2 linked regions of the Bombyx mori genome follow. The protein of the gene in region 2 purifies or fractionates together with the protein of the main gene of each other region. This does not show direct contact. Links are inferred from orthologs where the notes say so. Each region holds a gene or a part of one and is shown on either strand. Other genes may lie near its edges.

Evidence for each region.
Region 1: the proteins of DNA topoisomerase 3-beta-1 (region 2) and tudor domain-containing protein 3 purify together in Drosophila melanogaster (affinity purification with western blotting; 3 studies listed by BioGRID, with this or other methods). This does not show direct contact. The link is inferred for Bombyx mori from reciprocal best matches to the Drosophila melanogaster genes Top3beta and Tdrd3.

The regions. Positions count from the first base shown.
Region 1 is NC_085119.1:13,786,407-13,790,787, reverse strand, and holds the start of tudor domain-containing protein 3, read right to left. Parts: upstream 3,018-4,381; 5' UTR 2,809-3,017; coding exon 2,705-2,808; intron 2,623-2,704; coding exon 2,538-2,622; intron 2,456-2,537; coding exon 2,065-2,455; intron 577-2,064; coding exon 395-576; intron 222-394; coding exon 1-221. Other genes in the region: copper chaperone, read left to right, coding at 4,234-4,242, 4,330-4,381.
Region 2 is NC_085120.1:2,608,624-2,612,450, reverse strand, and holds part of DNA topoisomerase 3-beta-1, read right to left. Parts: intron 3,380-3,827; coding exon 3,236-3,379; 3' UTR 1-3,235. UniProt on the Drosophila melanogaster protein: Releases the supercoiling and torsional tension of DNA introduced during the DNA replication and transcription by transiently cleaving and rejoining one strand of the DNA duplex.

The sequences.
Region 1 (4,381 bases), on a different chromosome or scaffold from region 2:
TCTTTGTGGCGACCTTTACGCTTCACTGGATCTTGTTCCTTCTGTGGTTTCTCTTTATTCCTATTTTCAGAGTTGTCTCTTTTCTGCAATATCTTTAGTGCTCTATCAACATTGTTCTTGGTATATTTTAATGTTGCTTCTGCTTGTTCCTCTGTAAACCCTGCATCTACAATCTTTTGAACATTTGCGTCCAGTAAAGGTTTAGTTCCACCACCAAAAACCTGTAAAAAGAAACATTTTTACTTAATCATCTTTGCAGCAAGTAGTGTTTTAGCTCTGCCCTTAATCTTGCCAATTCCATGAGTGATGGTAACAACTTATAATCAGGTGGGCTGCTCGTGAAATGTTGTATGCCTGCAAAGGCAATATAAAACAATAAATATTAAGGACATGCCTTTTTCACACCAGACATCCTCTGTGCCTCAGCAATAGCACCTTTTCTTTGAGCCTCGAACTCTGGATTGTCCTGTTTGGCAGCTTCTTGTAGACTCTTGAACTGTTTGTCCACAGAAAGAGCTTCTAATCTCTGTCCAAATGGAATCCATGGTGGAGGACCTCCTTCAGCTCCTATGCCTCCTTTTATCAGAATGAAATTAATATTATGAGGGTATCAGCTTTTAATTTATAAACATTTTATCTCTCTAACACTATCTCTAACACAATTAAAAATAAATGCAATTTCTATATAGATGCCAGAGGACCAAAGCAATAACATCAACTTAACTAAAAAAATTTGTGTCTATAAATTAGTAATTTTTATTAACATAGTTGCAAGGTTTTTTTAAAGTTACCTTCTATAAAGAGTTTTAAACAGTTTAAAGTAATTTTGAGATATGAAACATCGAAAGCCACGTATAAACCAATTGCTGGCAAGGCGATGCACGATGTCACGTCACCATGCACAAGCAACTGTTTCTTAATATTAATTTTCTATTTTTCATTATTAGTAGTACGCAATAAACAAATGGTTCAACAGAACTAGTTACATTATTTTATTGTTCCCACTTTGTTTAAGAGTGGGAAAGATCCCCAGCATTGAGGATTTTTAATGCAAGGAGGAGGAGGGAAGGATCCAACAAACACTATCCTTTATCTTTCAGGAAGCAGTAACACATTTCAGTTTAAAGGGTGGGGAAGCCTTAAAAATTACATTGTAAAAACTGAGACTTTAGAACACATGTCTCAAGCTGGGTGACAGATTTGTTTTGTTTATGTCTATGGGCTCAAGTAACCACTCATTACTAGGTGGGCTCTGAGCTTGTCCACCCATTTAAGTAGTAAAAACAGAAGCCAGTCAGCCACATCATGCAAATTGTGCAAACACAGTGCCACACTGCTATGCAGACAAGTAGAACCTGAGCAGCTAACCCATCTACATTCACACTGACAGAGGACTGTATTTAATATTTGTTATGTATAAGTATTGGGTTATGGTCCTTAGCTAGTAGTAACTCTAACACATCCATGATTATAAGCCAGCAACAGGTGAACAAATGTTAATGAGCAATATATTATCTAAATCAAGAGTTCTACAGATATTCTACTGCACTATATTTCGTCTGAAACTTATTAGTGTCTGTTATACTAATGGAAAGGCGAAACTGAAATTCATTTTTCTATAAGGACAAAACTACTTTTTATGATAAATATCTGACAATTACCTACTATAATACAACATGTTCCTGTTTCAAAATTAAATTAAAAAAAACTCTATTCTCAACATGAACATAAGACAAAAAACAATATTCTGACTTAGGGCAGTCAAAAGATTAATAAATATATTTGTTTTAGTAAAGTTTATTTTTTCAAGAACCACAATATGGCACCGCTATCTATCGGCCAGAGTCTTAGTTTCATATTGATTAAGTAAATTAACTAGAAACAAGTTCTGACAGGATTCTATTTCGCATTATTTCATGTCCTGCTAGTGGTAAGCAAGTTCTAGCAAGAGTGAGATGTACTGGCACTTTAGGAATAATATTAATTGCAAAAACATAACATTTAGATTATTTAATTGCTGAATAAAATTGATTAAATAAAAGTTTATTTTATTGTTTTGCTTACCTCTTGTGTGTTTGGCAAGACTTCTGTTCAGTTCCCATTTTTCAATCATATGAGATACTGTTCCGCCCAATACAGATATCACTGATGGGGTGAGCCATACCACTCCGTGACAAACTTCTAGCTCTTCATTCTTCAGCAACAACTTAGTTCCAGGTGGGGTGTTTATACTTAGACTGGGTATATGACTTATCTCTAGACCTGTACACGTTACTTTCCCGTCATGCAGGGTTAGCTTCAACATCCGTGGGGCAGATGTTGATTCTTCATTAGCTTTAGGAGCTGACACATTCCTAATCTTCTGAATTTGAACAACAACGGGGCTTTCTAATTTAGACGGATCCTTGACAAAGTCTTCAGGTAACGATCCTTCGCTGATGTCTCTCAAATCGTACTACAAATTTGAAAATTGTCATGTATGTTTAGTTGGTTATTATTGAAATTGGGTTGCGAATCCAATTAGATTTAATACTTACGTCTAAAGCTTTTTTGCTAAGAATGTTTACATCTTGAATTTGACCATTTTCGGTTATCGTATCGATGCCTTCTTCGGTCAAATGCCTGGAAAAACCAAACCCTTACTTTAGATCTAAAAGCACGGTGGCAAATAACATCAATAAATTTAAAGCGCTAATTAATTTACCAGCCCAGTTCCTTAAGAGTTTCCCGTAATGACATGTTTTGATTTAAGGTCAAATTAACATTATTCTGCGAGAATGAATTGAAAATAATAAGGCCCACGGACATACGGCACCATGACAGTACAAGGCATAGATTATACACTTAAAACAAGGTAAGCACAGACTAATCAAGGTTGATAGTGGGCATCTCTTAATCAGTAGCCCACAAAATCTGGTAAAGATGGCGCTAAAAGCTAGTATTTACAAAATGCTTTTTATTTTCCTACTTAAGCTAATAGCCTTGAGAGGCTATTTCAGCTTCGCCTTAACGTGTAGGTGAGCTCACGGAGCTCAAACTGAAAGTACTGCTAACATGGCCCTAAAAGGAGCAGTGCTTCCTCGCACAGTGACGCTGATATGGTCTCTCAAAACCATCAGCATAGGTAGGAAAAAAAAACAAAAAAGCAGAATCTACCACCGGATCGGAAAACCGACCCACAGATGTGGCGAGAAACTCAGCGAGCTGTGTATATATGGGTTAATTTACTGTCATTATTTTGATTTTAGTATTGATAATAAAATATAAAGACAGTGGCGATTTTTTTCCTACCTAAGCTAAGAGCCTTGAGAAGCTATATCAGCTTAGCCTTAACTAGTAGGTGAGCTCACGGGGCTCAAACCTGATGACGTTGCTAACACGAACCCTAGCAAGAGCCGTGCTTCGCAGAATCTACCACCGGATCGGAAACGCGACCCAGTGAGAAGATCCGGCGAGAAACTCAGTGGGCTGTGTCTGAGGGTTAATTTACTCGTCGAGCCCTTCGTCGCAAGCGACGGGTTCGACGGAAGTACAATAATAGGCGCTAGAGGAAGAGCGCCAGCTAGATGGGTGGACCAACTCAAGGAGGTGACTGGAGGCCAGATACGGGGAGCGGTACATATGGCGCAGAACCGGACCGAGTGGAGAAGATTGACATACAGTCACGATTCTCAGCATTGAGGGAACGACCAGAAAGAAAGAAGATAATATTAGAGAATGCAAGTATAAAAAGCAAGTGAAATCAAAATTCAACTAACACGGACGTTAATTTAATTGAAACTAGTAAAATTAGCAACAAAAATCCAAAGATAAATTTAAGAGGCGGCATAGTATGAGATTGTAAGGCCCTCCGCCCATCTCAATGCAGTCTGGAGAAAAGTTTGTATGACACTTATGACAGTCCCGTCCATTATCTCCGTCCGTCTCTTTCTAACATTGTGTTTTTAATAATTGAATACAAAGCAGAATAGCTAACATAGCCTATTTACACAAGTCTACTTTCGAATTCGAACTAGTTATCAGGGTTTTATCAGTTTCTGATTCTGTGCTAAGTGTATTGCTATAGACGTCCGCGAGAGACTACAGAAATATACCGCCAGAACATTATCCTCAATTAATTTTATCAATATTTGATAAATGATAAGATCCTAAAAAGTTCAATCACTTATTGAGTGTTCGTCAAAGCCGTCGTATTCATTATTTCATATAGTATACGTGTACAGTTACAGTAAAATGACTACGGTAAAAAATGACTCAAATATATTTATGTAGCTTTGAAGAATTCTATTTATTTTTATTATATGTTTACAATTAATATTTTATTTCTAGACACACATATTCAACGTAGAAATGACCTGTGAAGGTTGTTCTGGCGCCGTCG
Region 2 (3,827 bases):
ATAGCGTAAAAGTTAACTCAAATTTGTTTGCAGCGCCCCTAGCGGCAAACGTAGGCCAACATTCCAATTGCATACAAATGTGAGTTAACTTTTACGCTATCGAGAACGTTAAATAGCTCGCACTAAACAAGCACACAGAATAAACAAAACGGCGTCGTGTTCTAATCAGCGTCAACTATCGCATTACGAATTCGAGCACCTACCTACCGCTCAAGCTTATATCAATTGACACATAATGCATTGGGGCTATTAAGGACACATAAATGACCACTAACTTTAGTAGCGTTCAAGCTAAAACAATACTGTCAACCATAACCAATCTGAAGTGATAATTAGAAGCTCCGTACAATGGAACACTAAACCGACTGAGTTGCAGCACCTAAGCAACCAAAACACGAGGTCAAATAAAACATTACATAGTTGATGACATTCATTTATATATTATAAATACAAATGTTACACACGCGTATACAAATATAACCAAATATGCGTCTCGGGACGCCCGACACAAGTGATAGCTTAAGCTAATCTAAGTTGAACTATTTAACTTGAGAAAATCTTAGGTTATTACTTAAATTTTATGTATCTTAATATGATAATGTAAGGAAAATTGTAACATGAATTGAAAAATAATCGACGCTTGAAAGGCAAACGTGACTAAGCGACAATAACTGCTTTGTACATAAATGATGGGCAATAACCATATTCGATGCGCAGAAAAAATATATTTCTAGGTCTATTAATATCATTTCAATCCTACAGCTACTAGCTAGATTCTACTACAGCTAGATTCGTTAAAATAAATTTTGTTTTCAGGTATTTCAAATTTAAATTAGTCTACTGTAAAGTTCACGCATTGTCGCTTAGTTACGTTTGTTTTTCAAGCGTCGATATGTAAATAGTTACGAGTTACATACGTCCTCTGTACCGATGCCGTATGCGTGAGTGAGAGAGAGAGAGAGAGAGAGAGAGAGAGAGAGAGAGAGAGAGAAGCTAGACAGACTAACGCCGTAACGCGTTACGTAACGTACCGGTTTACCGAAATTATCACTTCAAAAGCATAATAATGGTTGATTCGAATTGTTCTTATATCAAGAAACATACAAACTATAGACTTATTAATAGATTAACTTGTAAGCGTTAACTTGTAAGTCTTGCTCTACGTAAGCGACGATATCATATTCACAAATAAAACAAGCTCTATTTCTATAATACAACATTATCAAACCATACAAAATTTAATAGATTAGAAAGAGACATGATTTAATCAGCATATGTTATACATGAACACTACAGTACAACTACGTATGTATGCTACAGACATTCAACAGAGTGCTTAGTGCGAGTTTTTTAACGTTCTCGATAGCGTAAAAGTTAACCCAATTTTGTGTGCATTTGAAACAGCGCCCCTAGCGGCAAACGTAGGCAAACGATCCCATTCTAAATCATAACTTTTACGTTATCGAGAACGTTAAAAAACTCGCACTAAGCACACAGAGTATGATTTTAAAACTCAATTGAAAATCCCTTAATGACACAGATCTCTAAGGTTTCTCCCGATCCATTAACGGTGCTTTTAGGTACCTCAAACACCGGTCACCGTCCTCACCGAACTCCTGGCTTGCGACGAAGGGCTCGACGAGTGAATTAACCCACAGACACAGCCCACTGAGTTTCTCGCCGGATCTTCTCAGTGGGTCGCCTTTCCGATCCGGTGGTAGATTCTGCGAATCACGGCTCTTGCTAGGGCCTGTGTTAGCAACACTCCCGGTTTGAGCCCCGTGAGCTCATCTACTCACCCAGTTACGCTGACATAGCCTCTCAAGGCTATCAGCTTAGGTAGATTAAAAAAAAAAGTTTCTTCGCCAGTTCGCCCCACTTTGGAACTGCAAGGGGCGTGAGCAATATACACACATATACACAATACGTGTAGTGCCTTTCAATAATAATTATATCGTAACTAGCTGACCCGGCAGGCTTCGTAGTGCCTCAATCGAGAAATAAAAGACCTAAACTTTTGTATAAAATAAACTTAAAACAAACAAAAGGAATCCGTACGACGGGGGACACACACATCAAAGCAAAAACAAAATCATTATTTTTATGTAATTCCGAGCATTTTCAAATTTATCTACCTTTTGAACCTTCTCTGGACTTCCGCAGATAATTCAAGACCAAAATTAGCCCAATCGGTCCAGCCGTTCTCGAGTTTTAGCGAGACTAACGAACAGCAATTCATTTTTATATATACATATACCGTAATTACAAACACGACATAGGAAATGTAAACTTTATTTACTATGATTAAAAACTACATTTGCGGTTCGGTTTTGCGGGTTTTAGCGTCCTAGTGTATTCTCTAGACTCTAGACTCTTTCGAGCTTTGTAAACATTCCGTAAAGGTAAAAATCTATATATTTTTTAATAGTATATTAGTTACTTAGCGTAATAATCCAATGTTAATAAATAATCTTACGGCTTAGTCGTCAGTGTGACCATGAGAACTGCACAGCATTCGAGGCGCCGCAAATAATATAATGACAATAATAGACGATAGGTTAAACCATTCATGTAGCTTTAGTTATGTCGCAAACACTGAAGTAAATACTTTACATAATTAATATAATGTAATAGTTTGACTGACTCGGTGGTGCAGTAGTTAGCGCTCCTGGCTGTTGCGCCGAGGGTCGTGGGTTCGATTCCCACATTGAGCAAACATTCGTGTGATGAACAGCTTTGTTTGCTCTTCGCCTGTTTATTATCTATATATGTACTTATTTAAAAAAACTTGTATAAGTATGTATGTCAATCTCTGGTACCCGTAATATAGGAAATCCTAAATTAGGGGCTGGATGACCATGTGTGATTCGCTCCCGATTATTATTAATTTATTTAAATAAAAACATTAAAACGCTATTTCATCGAAGCTATTACCATGAACATAAAGACGATTTTAACACGAATCAAATAGCATACTTATCGACATCTTAAATGCATAATATTGTATGTCCATGACCAGAGCCATCCCAAATCAAAAATTATAATCGAACAAGATTACGTTTCTAATGTTTCTCTAAAGATTAGTCGGTAGTAGAGCAAAGAGTACACACGTAAAACACATGTCAAGTGCTAGCAATAAAATCGATTTTAGCAACTCGTTCGTATTGGAGTTGCGACGTTTTGTCACGCGACGCGCGGCTCACGTTCCCGGGGGGAGGAGGGTGAGGGCGGCTGGTCATACAAAGTACGCGGCCAGGAGCGCCATCTTGTCCTTGGGCTGCTTGGCCCGGTGCTTGTGCACCCGCGGCCGCCCGCCCCGCCCCGCGCCCCGCGCCGCCCCGCCGCCCGCGCGTGACGTCACCGCACGGTGCTTCTCAACCTGCGACAAGTTTTTTTTTTGTTATTGCCTTTATAGGCAGACGAGCGTACGGCCCACCTGATGTTAAGTGGTTACCGTCGCCCATGGACTTCAGCAATGCCAGGAGCAGAGCCAAGCCGCTGCCTACTGCTTAATACTCTCCACAAGTCTTGTTTGAAGAGGACATGTCATAGCGCTCGGGAAACACCGAGGAGGGGAGCTCATTCCATAGCCGGGTGGTACGTGGCAAATAGCCGGATGGTATAGTTTACATGCGCTGATTTTAATTATACATCGTAAGGGATTTTAATAGAAACTAAAACATAATTTTTGTAAAATGGTAATAATTTGTGCATTAAGACATTTACAATGTAGGGGTAGGTGTAGTAGGGATAGGGATATGTTAGTATATGAGATGTTAGCTCGTCGTTCATTTTGGCCTGAAATGACGTCACAAATAATGTTATTT